Linked DNA regions of Cricetulus griseus. The protein of the gene in region 3 purifies or fractionates together with the protein of the main gene of each other region. This does not show direct contact. Links are inferred from orthologs where the notes say so. Each region holds a gene or a part of one and is shown on either strand. Other genes may lie near its edges.

What was found. The genes of interacting proteins can lie anywhere in the genome.
Region 1: the proteins of Tgfbr1 (region 3) and Smurf2 purify together in Homo sapiens (affinity purification with western blotting; 8 studies listed by BioGRID). This does not show direct contact. The link is inferred for Cricetulus griseus from reciprocal best matches to the Homo sapiens genes TGFBR1 and SMURF2.
Region 2: the proteins of Tgfbr1 (region 3) and Smurf1 purify together in Homo sapiens (affinity purification with western blotting; 3 studies listed by BioGRID). This does not show direct contact. The link is inferred for Cricetulus griseus from reciprocal best matches to the Homo sapiens genes TGFBR1 and SMURF1.

What each region holds. Positions count from the first base shown.
Region 1 is NC_048600.1:119,826,717-119,832,371, reverse strand, and holds the start of Smurf2 (E3 ubiquitin-protein ligase SMURF2), read left to right. Parts: upstream 1-2,015; 5' UTR 2,016-2,030; coding exon 2,031-2,130; intron 2,131-5,655. UniProt on the Homo sapiens protein: E3 ubiquitin-protein ligase which accepts ubiquitin from an E2 ubiquitin-conjugating enzyme in the form of a thioester and then directly transfers the ubiquitin to targeted substrates.
Region 2 is NC_048597.1:81,372,485-81,378,054, forward strand, and holds the start of Smurf1 (E3 ubiquitin-protein ligase SMURF1), read right to left. Parts: upstream 3,641-5,570; 5' UTR 3,377-3,640; coding exon 3,322-3,376; intron 1-3,321. UniProt on the Homo sapiens protein: E3 ubiquitin-protein ligase that acts as a negative regulator of BMP signaling pathway. Mediates ubiquitination and degradation of SMAD1 and SMAD5, 2 receptor-regulated SMADs specific for the BMP pathway.
Region 3 is NC_048595.1:96,010,427-96,015,527, reverse strand, and holds part of Tgfbr1 (TGF-beta receptor type-1), read left to right. Parts: intron 1-116; coding exon 117-241; intron 242-1,457; coding exon 1,458-1,588; intron 1,589-3,846; coding exon 3,847-3,972; 3' UTR 3,973-5,101. UniProt on the Homo sapiens protein: Transmembrane serine/threonine kinase forming with the TGF-beta type II serine/threonine kinase receptor, TGFBR2, the non-promiscuous receptor for the TGF-beta cytokines TGFB1, TGFB2 and TGFB3.

The sequences.
Region 1 (5,655 bases), on a different chromosome or scaffold from region 3:
TAGCTGCCATGTTAGTGCTAGGAACTAAATCCAGGTTCTCTGGAAGAACAGCCAGTGTTCTTAGCCACTGAACTGTCCTCTCCCAACCCCTAAGTATGCTTTTCCAACCTCTGGGACAGCCATCATTTATGAGTAGGTCTGTTTGAAGGAAGACTTCTAGCAGAGGAAGTGGTTGAGTTTGGAATAGTGTCTTAGGGTTACGGTTGCTGTGATGAAACACCATGACCAAAGCAACTTGGGGAGAAAAGGGTTTATTTGTCATATGCTTCCACATCTTAATTCATCATCAAAGGAAGTCAGGACAGGAACTCAAGCGAGGGCAGGGACATGGAGGCAGGAAATGATGCAGAGGCCTTGGAAGGATGCTGCTTACTGGCTTGCTCCTCATGACCACCAGCCCGGGGGTGGTCCCACCCACAATGGATTGTGCCCTCCCCCATCAATCACGAATTAAGAAAATACCTTACAAGCTTGCCTGCAGCCCTCTCTTCTGGAGGCTTTTTTTTTTTTTTTTTTTTTGCTTTTCTTTCCCTCCCTCCCCCCTCTTTCCCCTCTCCCTTTTCTCCCACCCCCTTTCAAAACAGGGTTATTCTCTATAATTCTGGCTGTCCTGGAACTTGCTTTGTAGACCAGGCTGCCTCCTGAGTGCTGGAATTAAAGGTGTGCTCCCAGTTGAAGGCAGTTTCTTAATTGAGGTTCCTACTCTGTGATGACTTTAGCTTGTGGCAAGTTTATATAAAACTAGCCAGCACAAATAGTAACTGATAGAACAGTGTTTGGCCCCTACACAGAATACAAGGGAATTGATGTAACTAAAACAGTGTACATATATATTTTCATTTTTAAGTTGGAGAAAATAATTCATAGAAATAATGATTTAAAGCTGGGTGGTAATGGCTCATGCCTTTAATGCCAGCACTCTGGATGCAGAGGCAGGCAGCTCTCTGTGAGTTTCAGGTCAACCTGGTCTACAAAGTGAGTTCCAGGACAGCCAGGGCCACACAGAGAAACCCTGTCTTAAAAAAACAAAACAAAACAAAACATAAAACCACCACCAACAAAATAAACTGGTTTGAAATTCATAGCTGAGTGGCTGGAGAGGTGATTCAGTGGTTAAGAGCACTTGATGCTCTTTTCAAGGACTCCAGTGTGGTCCAAACTGGGAGACTCAAAAGGACGTGTAACTTCATCTCCAGCAGAATCCAATGCCCTCTTCTATAACTCTGCATGCACTTGCATGCACACATGTATAGCACATATACACATAATGAAAATGAATAAATCTAAGAAATTATGTGTAGTGAAATACTTTCAAGTAGTTCTCCAAAATGTATGTATGTGTTTAGATTTGTATTTGATACTTTTGCTTATTACAAAGTCCTATATTATCTTTTTCTTTTTTTAGAGATAGGGCCTTATGTAGACCATGTTACCCCAAACTTTTTATGTAGACTTAAACTTCAGTTCCTTCAGTCTTGGTCTCTCTAGTTCTGTGGATAGACATATACTACCGCACCTCGTTTATGTGGTGCTGGGGATGGAATCCAGGGCCCTGAATGTGCTACACAGGCTTCTGTCAATAGAGCTATAGTCTAAGCTCCTGTAATAACATGTGGCAATTCTAAACTGCTGCTGTCATGTGTCAGTGGTAAGGAATGGTGCACAGAAGCATATTTTTTGGAGCCTGGGCCAGCTTGTTGGGATTTCATTTAGAGGTGTTAAACTGGACTTCCATGTTAACTTTTTACAGTGCCAACGTAAGTTTGAAGAACGTGCAGAAAAATATGTTGGCTAAAATATTCTCTGTAACTTTTGAGTTACAGGAACAGTATTGTGAAAGTTTGTTTGTTTGGGAGCAAAGAAAAGAAGGATATCTGACTATCTCCCTCTACCCCCTTTGAACAGCTTCATTCCAGTGTGCATTGTAATTGGAATGCAACTGCAGTCTGGAGGAGGAAGGGGAATTTTTGGCAAGGATATAATGAGCAGTTGGGAGCTTTATTGAAATTAAGCACAGACAACCATTCATTATGAGTACAACTTACGAGAACAGCAGGGCATTCCATTCTGTTACCATTCTGTTACTACCGCTGGGCATTGCACTGATACTATTACAGATGCTTGTTGCAGGTAGGCAACTTCTTTCTAATAAAAAAAGAAACTAGTGACTTAACCCACAGTGTGGTAGCCGCCCTTCCACAAGTGTTTTTTCCAGTTACTACTTCAAATACATATAAAAAGATTTTTGTTGTTATTTTTGGAAAAAATTTAAAAACATTTCTTGCAAAAATAACAGAAGACATTTGTAGCCAATGTAGTGGCCTATTCCTATGATCCCAGCACTCAGGAATTTGAAGCAGGTTTATAAAAACCTGGATCTTGGTTTATAAAAAAAATATTTATTTTACTTTATGTATATGTGTGCATGTGTTGAGTGTGTGTGTGTGTGTGTGTGTGTGTGTGTGTGTGTGTGTGTGTGTAGGTATGTATGTATAGTGTGTATATGTAGAAAGCCTAGAGAGGTCAGAAAAGAGCATCAGATTTCCTGGAACTGGAGTTCAAGTAGTTATGAGGCACCTTGTGGATGATGCTGGGAACTGAATTCTGGTGCTCTGCAGGACCAGAGAGGTGCACTTATCCGCTGGTTCATTTCTCCAATCCCTAGATCTTGATTTTGAGCACAGCAGGGTTACATAAAAGGATTCTAATTTCTCCCTCAAAAAAAAAAAGGTATTTATGGTATGATAATTGAGTTGTATCTTTATCTGCAGAACCTATGATAGTACTTGGCATAAAGTGAGTACTCAGGAAATGTCAAATGAAAGAATGAAACTAGGCCTTGTGGCGCATGCCTTTAATGTTAGTACTCAGGAGGCAGAGGCAGGTAGATCTCTGAGTTTGAGGCCAGCCTAGTTTGTATGAGGAGTTAGAGGCCAGCCAAGGCAACTCAGTGAGACTGTCTCAGTAAAAAAGAATTGATTATTAATTGGTTTATTCTGTTCTCTATAAGCATATCAAGAAGGTTATACCCCTATCCATGTGAAATGTAGAGACATTATTAGCATACTATTCTATTAGTTACTTAAATCATAGCTGGGGCAGGGGCAACTTAAAGGAGGAAGGATTATTTTGGCTCTTGGTTTCTGAGATGTCAGTCTCAACATTGTATGAGGACTTAGTACAGCAGAGAAGCTCACATCATGGTGGGCCAGGAAGCAGAGCACAGGGACGGGGCATTTTGGTGGCTTTTCTTTTTTACCGCCAGTGTTCTAAGCTCATGGATTGATGCCAGCCACATCTAGTTTGATCTTTCTCCTTAATGAGTCCTCTCTAGAAACCATCTCACAAACATATACAGGTGTGCCCCACCTACTCCTAGGTAACTCTAAACCCAATAAAATTCACAATGGCGATTAACTATCATACAACTTTCCTTAATTTGGTTACCTTATTATTTCTTTAGAGGAGGTAGATGGACTAGCTAGAACAACTTTGGGAAGTACAGATTTAAGAATAGAAACACTTTGAGGAATTTGAGATGAATATTAAACATTATCAAAGTACTATAGCAGATTTAATCTGTATGCAGCTCTAGGCTCATTAGAGACATTGTCTCTAATGGACTTCAGTGGTAGTACTATAGTATTAATATGCTACATTTGTAGCTATCATTGATTAAAATTAGCACATAATTGCATAATATCTGAAGCTAGTGCAATGTGTTAATTAAAATTAGTGAAAATTTAATCAATCAGCATTTCTGTGTCCTTTGTTTATATTATTCCAATAAGAAGTTTACTAAATGTTAAAGATGGATAGGAGTAAGTCTGAACTATTGGCCCTCTCCTGCTATGTCACTCTTAACATTGTGTGTAAATGTCTCTCTTGAGAAACATTTAGAAAACAAGAATTAAACAGTCTTGGTTATATTTTACATAGTTCTGTTACCAAAAAATGATAGATTAAAAACATATATACAAATTCCTCAGAAACATACTTCCTTAGGCAAAGGTTGCATAATAATAGTTGCATAATCAGGAGTTTGTCATATTGAAATTCATGAATTCTTTGAACGGTTATGGAGTAATTCTCCCATAATTAATGTACTGAAGATGGAAAAAGCCAGAGAGCTGTGGTTCTAATCTCTGAAGTAGATTTTCAAGAAACAAGAGCAGTACAATGAAGACTAGAGAGTATGAAAATAATTTACTTATACAAGTGAATAAAATTACCATTTTCAGATCACATATTGATAATCCTCCCTTTCAGAGTTACAAATATAAGATGTTGCTTTGAAAGCATTAAACAGTATATATAAAAAGCACTTACAAAAAATCAGTTGGGGGGGGCTGGAGAGATGGCTTATCGGTTAAGAGCACTGACTGCTTTTCAAGAGGTCCTGAGTTCAATTCCCAGCAACCACATGGTGGCTCACAACCACCTTGAATGAGATCTGGTGCTCTATGATGGCATGCAGGCAGAAGACTGTATACATAATAAATAAATAAAATCTTAAAAAAAAAATCAGTTGGGGGCTGGAGGGATGGCTCTTCTGTTACTAGTGAGTCCTGAGGACCTGAATCTAGTTCCTAGTACCCACATTTGGTGGCCCAAGATTGCATGTATCTTGAGCTCCCATGGATCCAACACTCTTTAGGCCTCCATGGACACCTATTGCATGTGATGCCATAAACTCATGCAGACACACAATACACAAACAAATAAATAAAAAACATTTTAAAGCTATTTGAAGCTGATGAGATTTAGTCCCAGGAATAATAATCTGGGGCTGAGGAGAAGGCTAAAGTTGGTAAGTGCTTGCTATGTCAGCATAATAATCAGAGTTTGGATTCCTGGCACTTTAGGGGAAAAAAAAAAAAAAAAAAAACAACAACAAAAAACAGGCACAGCACACTAACCTGTAATCTTAGTTCTGGGAACTAAGCCCTAGAAATACTAGGGCTTACTGGTGTCAGCTAGTCTAGCCACATAAGTGTGCTCCATGTCCACCAAAAAATAAGGTGGATAATGAGGTAAATACCTCACTTCAACCTCTGACCTCCATCTATATGCACACAAAATAATCATTTGACAGTCCTGATGTTTCTTGCTTTAAATCTTGTTTCTTCTAGTACTCTGATTTCTCTTCTTTCCTTTCTTTTCTTCCTCTATTCAGTCAGTCAGTCAGTCAGTCAGTTTGTCTCCAGTCTCTTTCCCACCAGCCTCCTTGAGTGCTGGGATTACAGGTGTTTACTAGCACGCCCAACTTTCCTGTAGTTTCTGAATTATTTCTTCACAAATTTAGAATGTGTCCAGTTTTTATTCTTTTGAGTTTTCAGTATCATTTTAAATTTTTATTTTATGTGTATGAATATTTTGCCTGCATGTATGTTGGTGTACCATGTGTGTGCCTGGTGACTGTGGAGGCCAGATATCACACTGGGTACTTGGAACTGGAGTTACAGGTGGTTGTGGACTGCTTTGTGGGTGCAGGGAGTCGAACCTTTGCAAGAACAGCCAGCCAGTGCTCTTAACTGATAAGCCATCTCTCTGTAGCTCTCAGTTTTTTTTCTCACAGTCCTGGCTTTCCTGGAACTTGATTTGTAGACCAGGCTGACCTCAAACTCACTTAGATCTGCCTGCCTCTGCCTCCCA
Region 2 (5,570 bases), on a different chromosome or scaffold from region 3:
GTTTATTACAGGGCTGAAGTCTCATCAAAAAGAGGAAACTAAGACCCTAGAAGGTAATTAATTGGCTGCACGTCAGGAACTGCTAGTCTGGCTGATCCAAGCACCTTGATCTGACAGGCTCTGTTCCCCAAAGCCAACTGTAGACCCCAAAGTTCTCAATGCTCATTAACCACTCCAGTGCCTGTGTGATGTTCTGTGTTTTTCATTGCAAGGTTACAACAGCCCTCTTTTTTTTTTTTTTAATTCTATTTATGTATTCAGGTTTGTGTACATTCAGGGACACGTAAGTGTGCACGCAGGCCAGAGGTTAATATCAGGTGCTGTTCCTCAGGAGCCATCCACTTATTTTTTGAGACCGGGCCTTTCACCTATTGAGGCTCCAGCTACCACTGCCAGCCACATTCAATTTTTCAGTGGGTGCTGGGGGTCCAGCTCAAGTCCTATGCTTGCCAGTCAAGCACTTTCCTGACTGAGCCATCTCCCCAGTCCCAATAGCTCTCATTTTTAAAAAGTCATTTTCCCAAAATACAAATACATAATAAATGCTGAAACACCATAACAATATTTAACTTTAGAGAGATTGCTACCCACCATTCTCATTTCCTGTAACAGTATAAAGATGAAGGCAAAACCTACCTCATCTTCAATAAAATGGCTGGCTCCAAGATTTTCACACAGTTGTCACCACATATTGCCACCAACTCCCAATCCTATGAGCACACTCAGAGCTTCTTTCAGACCAATTGATGACACCCATCCCTGGTCCTTCCCATCAAAGGCCACCCAAAAACTCTGGAGCCTCCTCAGTCTTCAACACCAAAATCAGACCGGGAAAGCCTCCCTTTCCTGGTTCTCTAGGATCTGTTAATAGACAGCTGACACAAACGCCACTGATCTCATTTCGACTAAAACTCCCCAAGTCCATCAATTTAACAGGAAGGCTGAAACCAATGTGGATTATCACTAAAATCAGGGCCCAGTGCCAGTGAGCAAACTTTCACAAGGATGACTGGCAAAGAATCTAACTTTCTAAAGTAACAGCCAACACAGTGTCATACACTACATTCACCCAGTGAGAGTTCTCTCCAGTCACCTGCTGTTTGTCCAGGGGCAAAGATGTCCAACAAGACCAGGGTCTGGGTTCTAGTTCAAAAATCATTATCTGACCTGACATCACCAGAGAAAAAAATGTCAATCTTTTCTTAAACAGAACACTCATCGGCTACAAACTTTCCAAGAATTTCCACCGTGGCAGGGAAGATACCACCATGATCACAGCCCTTACCCAAAGGCTCAGTCCAAAAGGACAAGCAGAGAGCCTTAGTTCTGACCACACTGCCTCAGAACAGAAAAATCCAGGGAAATCCCTGAAAGGCCTTAGACTTAGTGTTTATTTCCTTTTCTGAGCTAGAAAGCCCCAGAGCAGGCCCTATGCCAGCCCTGCCATGCAGCTTTAGAGATGGATTCAAACTGGTAAGGTCTCTGCAGGAAAAGGAGAGGGAGAAAGGAAGAGGAAACCAGGGGCAGTGGTCCAGACTCTGGACCCATGAAGTGGGGCAGCTATGACAGAGAGCTCGCCTCTCCCTCTATGCAAACAATACTGTTGCTGTCAGACCCAGAGCAAGCTTTGCGCTCACCCTTGAAGGTGGCACTACAGAGCACCTAGGAAACCTGAAAATTCCTCTGAAGACTCGGAGTGGAACAAGGAACCTGTGCTGGAGCAGCTGCCACAGCTCAGCTTGTGTGGGAGTGGGGGATCGCGCCACAACAGGGACTCAAGCATGTGGCACTGAGGGGGATGTTGGCGAAGGCACTGCAGAGGAGGTAGGAACCGAAGACCGGGACTCTGCAGTGCTAAGTGGCCAGGCCTCAGGGAGAACGGAAGTGGACTAGACTGGAGAGGTCTGGACCATTGAAGAGGTGGGGGGGAGTGAGAACAAGTCTGGGAGACAGACGTTTGGTCCCAGACAGGCTTGAGGAATTTGCGACTCAAGGGTGGAGGCTGTAAGACAGAAGCGAGGGGGCGGGACTGAAAGATAATCGAGGGCGGGATCAGACAGAAACAAGGGGAGGGGCTTGGGCAGCGGAGGGGGCGGGGCCAAGAGGGGGGAAGGCCCCTAGAAAGATGGAGATGGGGAGGGAGTGAGGAGGTAGGAGAGCAAAGAGAGGATCAAAGCAGGCCAGTGGGGGGGGGGGGGGCGATTCTCGGGATACCAGGAGGGAGAAGTGAGAAGGTCAGAGAACACAGTGGTGAAGGAAGAAAGGAGGCGAAGAGATGAGAAGCTACAAGGGAAAAAGACAGCAGACAGGTGGGAGGGTAGTAAGGTGTGGGACTAGAGAGGGATAGCAGGTAGGAGGATGGTGAGTGAAGAAATGGATGATGAAAATCTGAGGTGAGGGTGGGAAGAGCAAAAGGTGCAGCGAGGGGGCGGGACCTACATGAAGTTGAAAGTGGGTGTGGAGCTGAGGGAGCCAGGCACAAGGCCTGGAGAAGAGCAGGGAGGGGCAGATGTGGGACAGAGGGTGCCTGGGGCAGGATATAGAGAGGGTCACAAGAGAGCCGGTGGGGGACCCCGAGGGGCGGGACCTCTATGCAGCTGAGGGTAGGGGTAGGGCAGAAAGGAGAGCTAGGGGATGGTCCTGGAGAGGGGAGCTAGGGGGCGGGACCTGAAGCAGAGGGGTAAGGTTAGGGGCAGAGGGAGGCAGTTAGGGGGCGGGGCCCATATGCAAATGACGGTAGGTGTGGGCAGAGTGTGAACGGTGAGGGGAGGACCTGATAAAGAGGGAGGAGCCGGAGGCAGTACCTACCGAGGATCAGCGGGGGTTGGGGGTGGAGCCCGACAGAAGGATGAACAGCAAGTAGGGCTTGAAGCAGAAAAAACCAACTGCAGAGAAATTAGCAGGCGGGGAATAATGCAGAGGGAGGAGCCAGAGGGCGGGGCACCAAGGCTACAAAGTAAAGAGGTGGAGCCTGTGGGGGGAGGGGGCGGGAGTCTGCAGAACAGTCGAGGGCTGAACCTGGTTACGAAAGGGGGAGGATCTGCGGATCAATAGGGGCGGGGCTAGATGCAAGAGGGCGGGGCTGCCGCAGCGGGCGGGGCCTGATGGCCGGGGGTGGGGCCTGATGCAGAGGGAGGGTACTGGGCGGCGGGGGCGGCGCCTGCAGAGCAGCCGGGGGGGCGGGGCCGGGAAAGGGAGCGAGGGGCGCACGCCGTGGGGGGTGCGGCGGTCCCGGGACAACGGCCGGTGCGGCGGGGTGGGAGTCCTCGAGGTCCCTGGGACCGCCTGGGGGCGCGAGGGCCGCGGCCCTGTAGTGCCTACCTGTCAGACGGATCTTGATGCTAGAGCCGTTCCTACGCGTCCCGGGGTTCGACATCTCCCGCCAGCGGCCGGCCGGCCTTGGATCCAGCGCCGCCGCCCCCAGCCGGCCCGGCCCGGCCCCGCCGCCGCCTCAAGGTTACGGCCACGGGCTGGGGTGCCGGGGTCCGAGCCGGGACGCCGAGTGAGCGGCGCAGGCGTCGGACGGGAGCCGCGGGCTGGAGCCGCAGGACGGAGCGCTCGGCTGCGCCGCCGCCCGGAGCCGCCCCTGGCCGCCAGCCCGGAGCCGCCGCGCTCGCAGCCGGACGCCCGCCGCCCTCGCTGCTTCCGCCGCCGCCTCCCGAGCTGCGCGCGCCCGTCGCCGTGCCGGCCCGGCCCTGCGCGGCCCCGCGCTTGCGTGCGTGCATGCGTGCGCGCGCCCGAGGAGCACGGCGCTACGCCGACAGCGTTCGTCCTGGGCGCGCACGCGAAGGTTCAGGGAGCTACTAGGTTTCTGCAGCCCGTGGAGATTCTTGAAACAGACATCCCGCTCGCGGAGCACTTCTTAGCCACAATCTCGGAACGAACTGATTTGCTTGTGCAACGATTTGGGAAATCGAATTATTTTTCTAGAGTCGGACTTTTTCCTGATGGAAGCCAGAGGATTGTGTGAAACCCCAAGCACCTTGCGCGCGTGCGCCCACGGGCACGCGATATCATTTTTGAGAAAATAACGTTTAGATCCTGCAAGTTCCAAGAGAGGACTTTCCACAATGATCGGGTGTGCCCTGTGCAACTGGTGTATTCGATTGACAAAGTGGCTAGACCCTCAGGAAGTGAGGCATATGGACCAGCTAAACTAGATGAGTGATGTAAACTGGAGAGGTGTGTGGTTTTGTGGTTAGGGACCTGCATGCAATTAAACTAACCTAGGAAGGTAAGCAGTGGGATTTGCGATTCCCTGCCTTCGGGTGAAACACACACACCCCGCGCGCGTGTGCGCCCCTAGAGAGGCAGGCAGGTAAAAAAGTAAAAGCTGTGTTTTCCCCAGCAAGCAAACCCATCTCTATGGTAACACATTCTAGAGAGGAAATAAAACGTTCTTGAAAAGGCTGGGTATGTTTACCTAACTCACATCTGATATGAACCTAATTCTTTTCATAGACAGAGTTTATGTGGCTTCCTTAGCCCTGTTACCCACAGCACTTAGCCACCCTCTTTGGAGACAGAGGCTCATTTTTAGACCAAGCTGGCCTCGAACTTGTGATCCTCCTGCCTCAGCTTCCTGATTACCAGCCTGTACCACAACCCACCTGGCCTTACCCTAGTGGTTTGTTTTGTTTCTATGACCCTGTGCAGCCCAGAGTTTCAAATAGCTGTAGTGAATTGTCTAAGAAAAGGAACAGTATATGAGCAACAGTTAATCCAGACGCTAGCTCTGTCTCATTTTCTAGGCAGCTGTCATTGAGATTGAGACCCTAGGTCAGAATAAATCCATTTAAGAGTCTTTGATGAGGGTTGGTATGATAGCTCCATTGATAAAGTGTTTGTTGTGCAAGCATGAAAAACTGAGTCTTGTGGGGGTTTTAGATATTTTTTAATCTACATATGAGTGTTTTGCATGTGTGTTTATATGTACATCAGAGGGTGCTGGATCTGAAACGAGTGGTTGTGAACTACCATGTGAGGGTACTGGGAACTGAACTCAGGTCCTCTGGAAGAGCAACAAATACTCTTTTGTGTACATAATTTATTTAATTTTATTTTAGTGCATTAGTGTGAAGACTGTGTAATGGTGTCAAAGCCCCTGGAACAGTAGTCACAGACACTTGTGAGCTGCCATGTGGGTTCTGGGAATTGAATTCTGGGTCTTCTGGAACACCAGAAGGTACTCTAACCACTGAGCCATTTCTCCAGCCCCACAACAAGTGTTCTTAACTGTTCAGCATCTCCAGCCTCAAGGACAAGGTGTGCTGGTGAGTTTGAGTGATCCTAGCCATGGAGAGGGAAAGACAGTAGGATCTCTGGGGCTTATTGGCTAGCTAGCCTCAGTGAACGGGGGAGCCCCATGGCAGCACATGCCAGAGACTGTCTCAAGAAAAAAAGAAGGTGGGGGATCACACACACACACACACACACACACACAAAACAATGTGTGTCCAATGGCCCAAGTAACCCCCTTTCTTCTGGCAATCTGGTCAGTATTCTGCCATGTACCAGAATATTCATTCCCTCCTCATACCAATCTCTCTCTCTCTCTCTCTCTCTCTCTC
Region 3 (5,101 bases):
TTCACGGGGGCTTCATAGTGAGACCCCATGTGTCTTTTTACCAGAAGTAAAAGACAGTGTATGAGACAGTAATTAATATGTTTTGTAGTGGACTGAAATGCTGGCTTCTTTTTTAGGTACATGGCCCCTGAAGTCCTAGATGATTCCATAAACATGAAACACTTTGAATCCTTCAAACGTGCTGACATCTATGCAATGGGCTTAGTGTTCTGGGAAATTGCTCGGCGCTGTTCCATTGGTGGTAAATCGCTCTCCTTTCCCCAGTTATCTGTCATGAGAAATTAGTCAAGAGTTTTCTTTTCTCTTGACTGAAATTTTACTGTCAGCAGTCTGACAGGTGACCACTGAGAATGTCACAGGAACAAAAGATAAACCTCACCAACACACAGCTTTTATCCAGAGTCATGTTCTGTTGCTATTTAGTCTCAGAGAGTGTCAGAACCTAGCTTCTTGTTATTTTGGATTTAGTTGTTTGAAAGGCCACCTGAGAAATTGCTTTTAGTATGGACTCAGCTACATCTTTTTTTTTTTTTTTTTTAACACTGGTTGTTTTCTCCAGCTTGATTGTTGAGGATCCTTAGACATATAATGACAATTGCATTATTAATGTTGCGTACTTTGTAGATTTTGTTTTAACTTTTGGTTTTATATTAGACTGAGAACTTGTCAGTGTTTGCTCAGACACTGTCTCTTAGGCTTAGGAATCTGTGTGAGACTTAGAACTTGAAAGTTTGAGACAGTGATGTATAGAGTATGCTTGGTGTTATAGCATAGGACATCAGATTAACAGGCACAAGCAGAGGAAGGGACTTGTGGGATTCACATCTCCTAATAAGAGTATATCCGCATCTTCTGTCTGGTGGAGTTGTAGTCAAGAGTGTCAGCCTGGTTATCACAGCACACTAGGTTCAAAATGGCCTTGATTTCTTTTCCATTGCTGTAGTACAATGCTCCGGCAAAGGCATTCTAAGGGAGGAAGGGCCCGTGGTTCCAAGTTACAGCTACCATAGAGGGAAGTCACAGTGGCAGAAGCTTGAGGGAGCTGGTCACATGACATCCACAGTCAAGCAGCAGAGAGCAGTGAGTGCATGCTGGTGCTCGGCTTGCTTTCTCTATTTATACACTCCAGGATCCCTTGCCTATGAAGTAGTACTGCCCATAGTTAAGATGTGTCCTCCCAATCAAAATAATCCCTCACAGGCATGCCCACGGGTCTGTCTTCCAGGTGATTGGTAGATTTTGTCAAGTTGACAACACTATCCTTCACAAAAATTGCAAGCCCAGTGATGACTCAAGTAGGTGGGTTATTGATGCAGATGTGGGTGAGATACATAAATTTGTGAACCTCACTTCACCTACTGGATGTAGAGATGGGCCACAGTAATGAGCCTCTCAAGTAATCCTTCCAGTGATGTGGCAGGAGCTGATTAATTTGGATTTTGTTTTAACCAATACAGGAATTCATGAAGACTATCAGCTGCCTTATTATGATCTTGTACCTTCTGATCCATCAGTTGAAGAAATGAGAAAAGTAGTTTGTGAACAGAAGTTAAGGCCAAATATTCCCAACAGATGGCAGAGCTGTGAAGTGAGTGTTTCCTTTTGATACTAGGCTATTTACTAAACTGTTTCTACTTAGGAGGCAGAAATTTGTCACTCTTCTATAAGGAAAAATTCTTGGTTTCTTTTTCTTTTTCATAAACAAATAAGTAAAAATAGAATAATTTGTTTCTTGAGACTATAAAAAGGGCCATGAAACATTTGCAGTGGTCAGTGGTGTCTGGACATTGTTAGATCTGCCATATGAAGTCAAGTGCCTGCTGTTGAAATGAATGCCTCCCTTTAGCCAATGTAGCCCAAGCACTATGACAAACACTGGGCAAGAATGTAGAGGACTGTCAATGCAGGCTTGGGTCCTTTCAGACTCAGATGTGGGCAGGCTGCATCAGTTCTCTGGAGCTTAGCACCCTTTGTAAGGTGAGGAGCTTCAGTACGGTCTTGCAGAGCTTCAGATGTATGACCTGTATTCCTAGGATTCAGTAGGACTACTCCTCAGGAGGGAGGGAGGGGGTACTTTCCAACAGTCTGGGTACAGGTTCTATTGACAGCTGTTACTAGGATGATAGTGCAGCAGGATGTGCCTTCCAGACTTGATGTTTTGTAGATGAACTTTCAGAAAAAGAAAGAAGAGTTGGACACCTCAGAAGTTCTCCACTGACATCAGTGTGCTCCCTCAGGTGTGACTGAGTTGGTAGAGTGCAAGATTGGCATACCTGAGGTCCAGGGATTGCTCCCCAATACCACTTTAAGGCAGGGTAGTGGTACACAGGTCTTTTAGTCCAGTATTCCAGAGGTAAAAGCAGGAAGAACAGGAATTCGAACTTAACTTCAGCCAGCTTCTGGCCAACCTGGGCTTCATGAAACCCTGTCTCAAAATAGCAACAATGTTAGAGCTCTTCATGGGGCCCCAAGGAATTATACCACGGTGGTATTTTGTGATTTTAGAAGTCCCTCACGTACTTTTGTAATTTCTACAAAGTTCTACTGTTTATTGTTGGAAAAATACCAAACATAAACATTCCTAGAAAAAATGTCCAGGTAGGACACATGCCCAAATGTTAATGCATGGGGAAAGCAAGCCTAAAGAGAAAGGCTGCTTTCCTTTTCCTTAAGATTTTCTTAGAGTAAAAAAAAAAATTTGTACGACACCTCAAGCAAAATGTAATGTGTAGACCCAGAGAGGAGCAAGCTGAGTGTGTTCAGGATCTTCATGTGATAGAACTTGACAGATGAGGGTGTGCTTTGGGTAAAATTATCTCTGGGTACTTGAGAACTCGGACTTGAAGTACACACACACACACACACACACACACACACACACACACACACACACACACACACACACATATTTAATAACTGAAGCAGTTAAAGACAGATGGCCTTTAGGCAGGAAGAAATTGGTTAACATTAAGAACATGTACAGTGCACAGTTACCATTACAGTATGCTGATTAATGCCATCATTGTATGTTATTTTCTCAATATGGTTACTAGTTTTCTGTGTACTTATTGCTATTTCAAATGACTAAGCGGTTAAGAGCACTGGCTGCTCTCCCAGAAGACTGGGGTTCTGTTCCCAGCACCAACAGGGCAGCTCACAGCTGTCTGTAACTCCTCTTCCAGGGGATCTAATTCCCACATAAAGACATACTTGCAGGCAAAACACCAATGAATATAAAATAAAAATAAATTATAAAAGCCTTCATTGAAACATGTAAGAGTATGGAACTGGCTAAGCTTGCTGGCATAGGCCTCTAATCCTAGCTGATCAGGAAGCCAGCAGGAAGGTCACAAGTTCAAGTCTTGCCTGGGCTATAGAGCCAGCCTTGGTAATATAGTGATAGAGATAGTCTTTCTTGGATAAAAACCCTCAAGCCTTGTGCTGGGATGGTGGCTAACGGACTCCTAGCTGTGAAATGTTGGAGTGGACAAGTGCTGGGGTTCCAGTACTTCTTCCTACTTTCCACCCTCAGTTGTCTCTAAAGTACTTAAAAATGAGTTAAGTTCTCACCCAGTGTCTAAGGTAGCAGTGTGGGTCATTTCTTTGGCTCAGTGCTGATTCAGGATTCAGCCTTTTGAGATCTAAGAAAGCTCCCCTGTCCAAAGCCTTTCCAGCTGCTGGCATCTGGATATTGATGGAACCTTAAATCTGCATTTGCTACTACAAAGCTAGAATAGGAACCTTATACATATTTTTTTTTTTTACAAAGTCTTAGAGGGATGTTCTTCCTAGATTAATGGCAAATGGTATGTATGTATTAATTATTTTTCTTATATTTTCTTGTAGGCCTTGAGAGTGATGGCTAAAATTATGAGAGAATGTTGGTATGCCAATGGAGCAGCTAGGCTGACAGCTTTGCGAATTAAAAAAACATTGTCACAGCTCAGCCAACAGGAAGGCATCAAAATGTAACCGAAGCTTCGAGGGAACTCTGCTCTCTTCATATCTGCTCCTGGGTGTGTTTGGGAGGCCGGTTGTTCTACCTCACTGAGAACGAACGGAGGATGCTGCTTCCTCGTGCTGCAGTGGAATGTGGTTAATTGAGAGCTTCCCAGGGTTCCTCTGGGCCCAGAGGCAGCCACAGGGATCCTTTGCGTGCACTATGGATGCTTCTTCCCAGGACAGTTACAGAATGTTGTCTAGTCTACTTTTGTTTTTATTAACAAAGCTTGTTTTTAGAAGATGACTGCTGGCCCTTTAGGGAGCTGCTGTGCTGATGGTCATCCGTGAGGTGAAGGAGCTGGAGTGTCTGTCAGCTTAGATGAAGAAGCACTTGTGATTTTCACTCCTGATTAGTACATTCTCAGAGGACTCTGAACCACTAGTTTCCTTGATTCACTTTGAATGTACTGTTTTATAGTTTTTCAGGATCTTAACCTAACACCTAAAACTCTATAGTCTAAAAAAATGACCTCATGTAGGCGTGAGGGGCACAATTGATGCAGTTGTATTTATGTATGGCTCCTGCTCCTTCACACTCGGAACACAACATGCCTTCAAAGTGGGGTTGTGCTACACCAGTAAGTGCCACTTTTGCCTCTTTCTAAATGGAAATGAACAGAACTGCTTAAAGTCTGTGTTAAGTCCTGTATCATTTTCATCCAAAAAGTTTATTTTTTTGAGTAACCTAAATCTTTTCTGGGTCATTTTTGTTTTTTTAAGAGTTTGTGTGGTAGATGTCACTCAGTATTTATCTTTCTCCTACCCAAATGTGCTTGAACCACTGAGGCAATGCAGTAGCATCAATAAGCAGTCACTGGTCATGTGGGAACACCCCACATCGAGCTTTGGAGCTTTGCAGTTGAGATATGTTTTCTGAGTTTATTTTAAAAAGTAAATGGCACTCCAGATACACACAGTACTTTATGGATTTAATCATTATGTCATACAGACTCATTCTTCTGAAAGGAGAGGCTTGTCTACTGCCTTGTGCAAAGTTGTATGCTTTTCTGGAAGCCTTTTTTTTCTTTATCTGATCAAAGACTGTTTTCTTTTTGTTGTTGTTGTTGTTTTGAAACAAATTGCATTTAAAATTCAAATG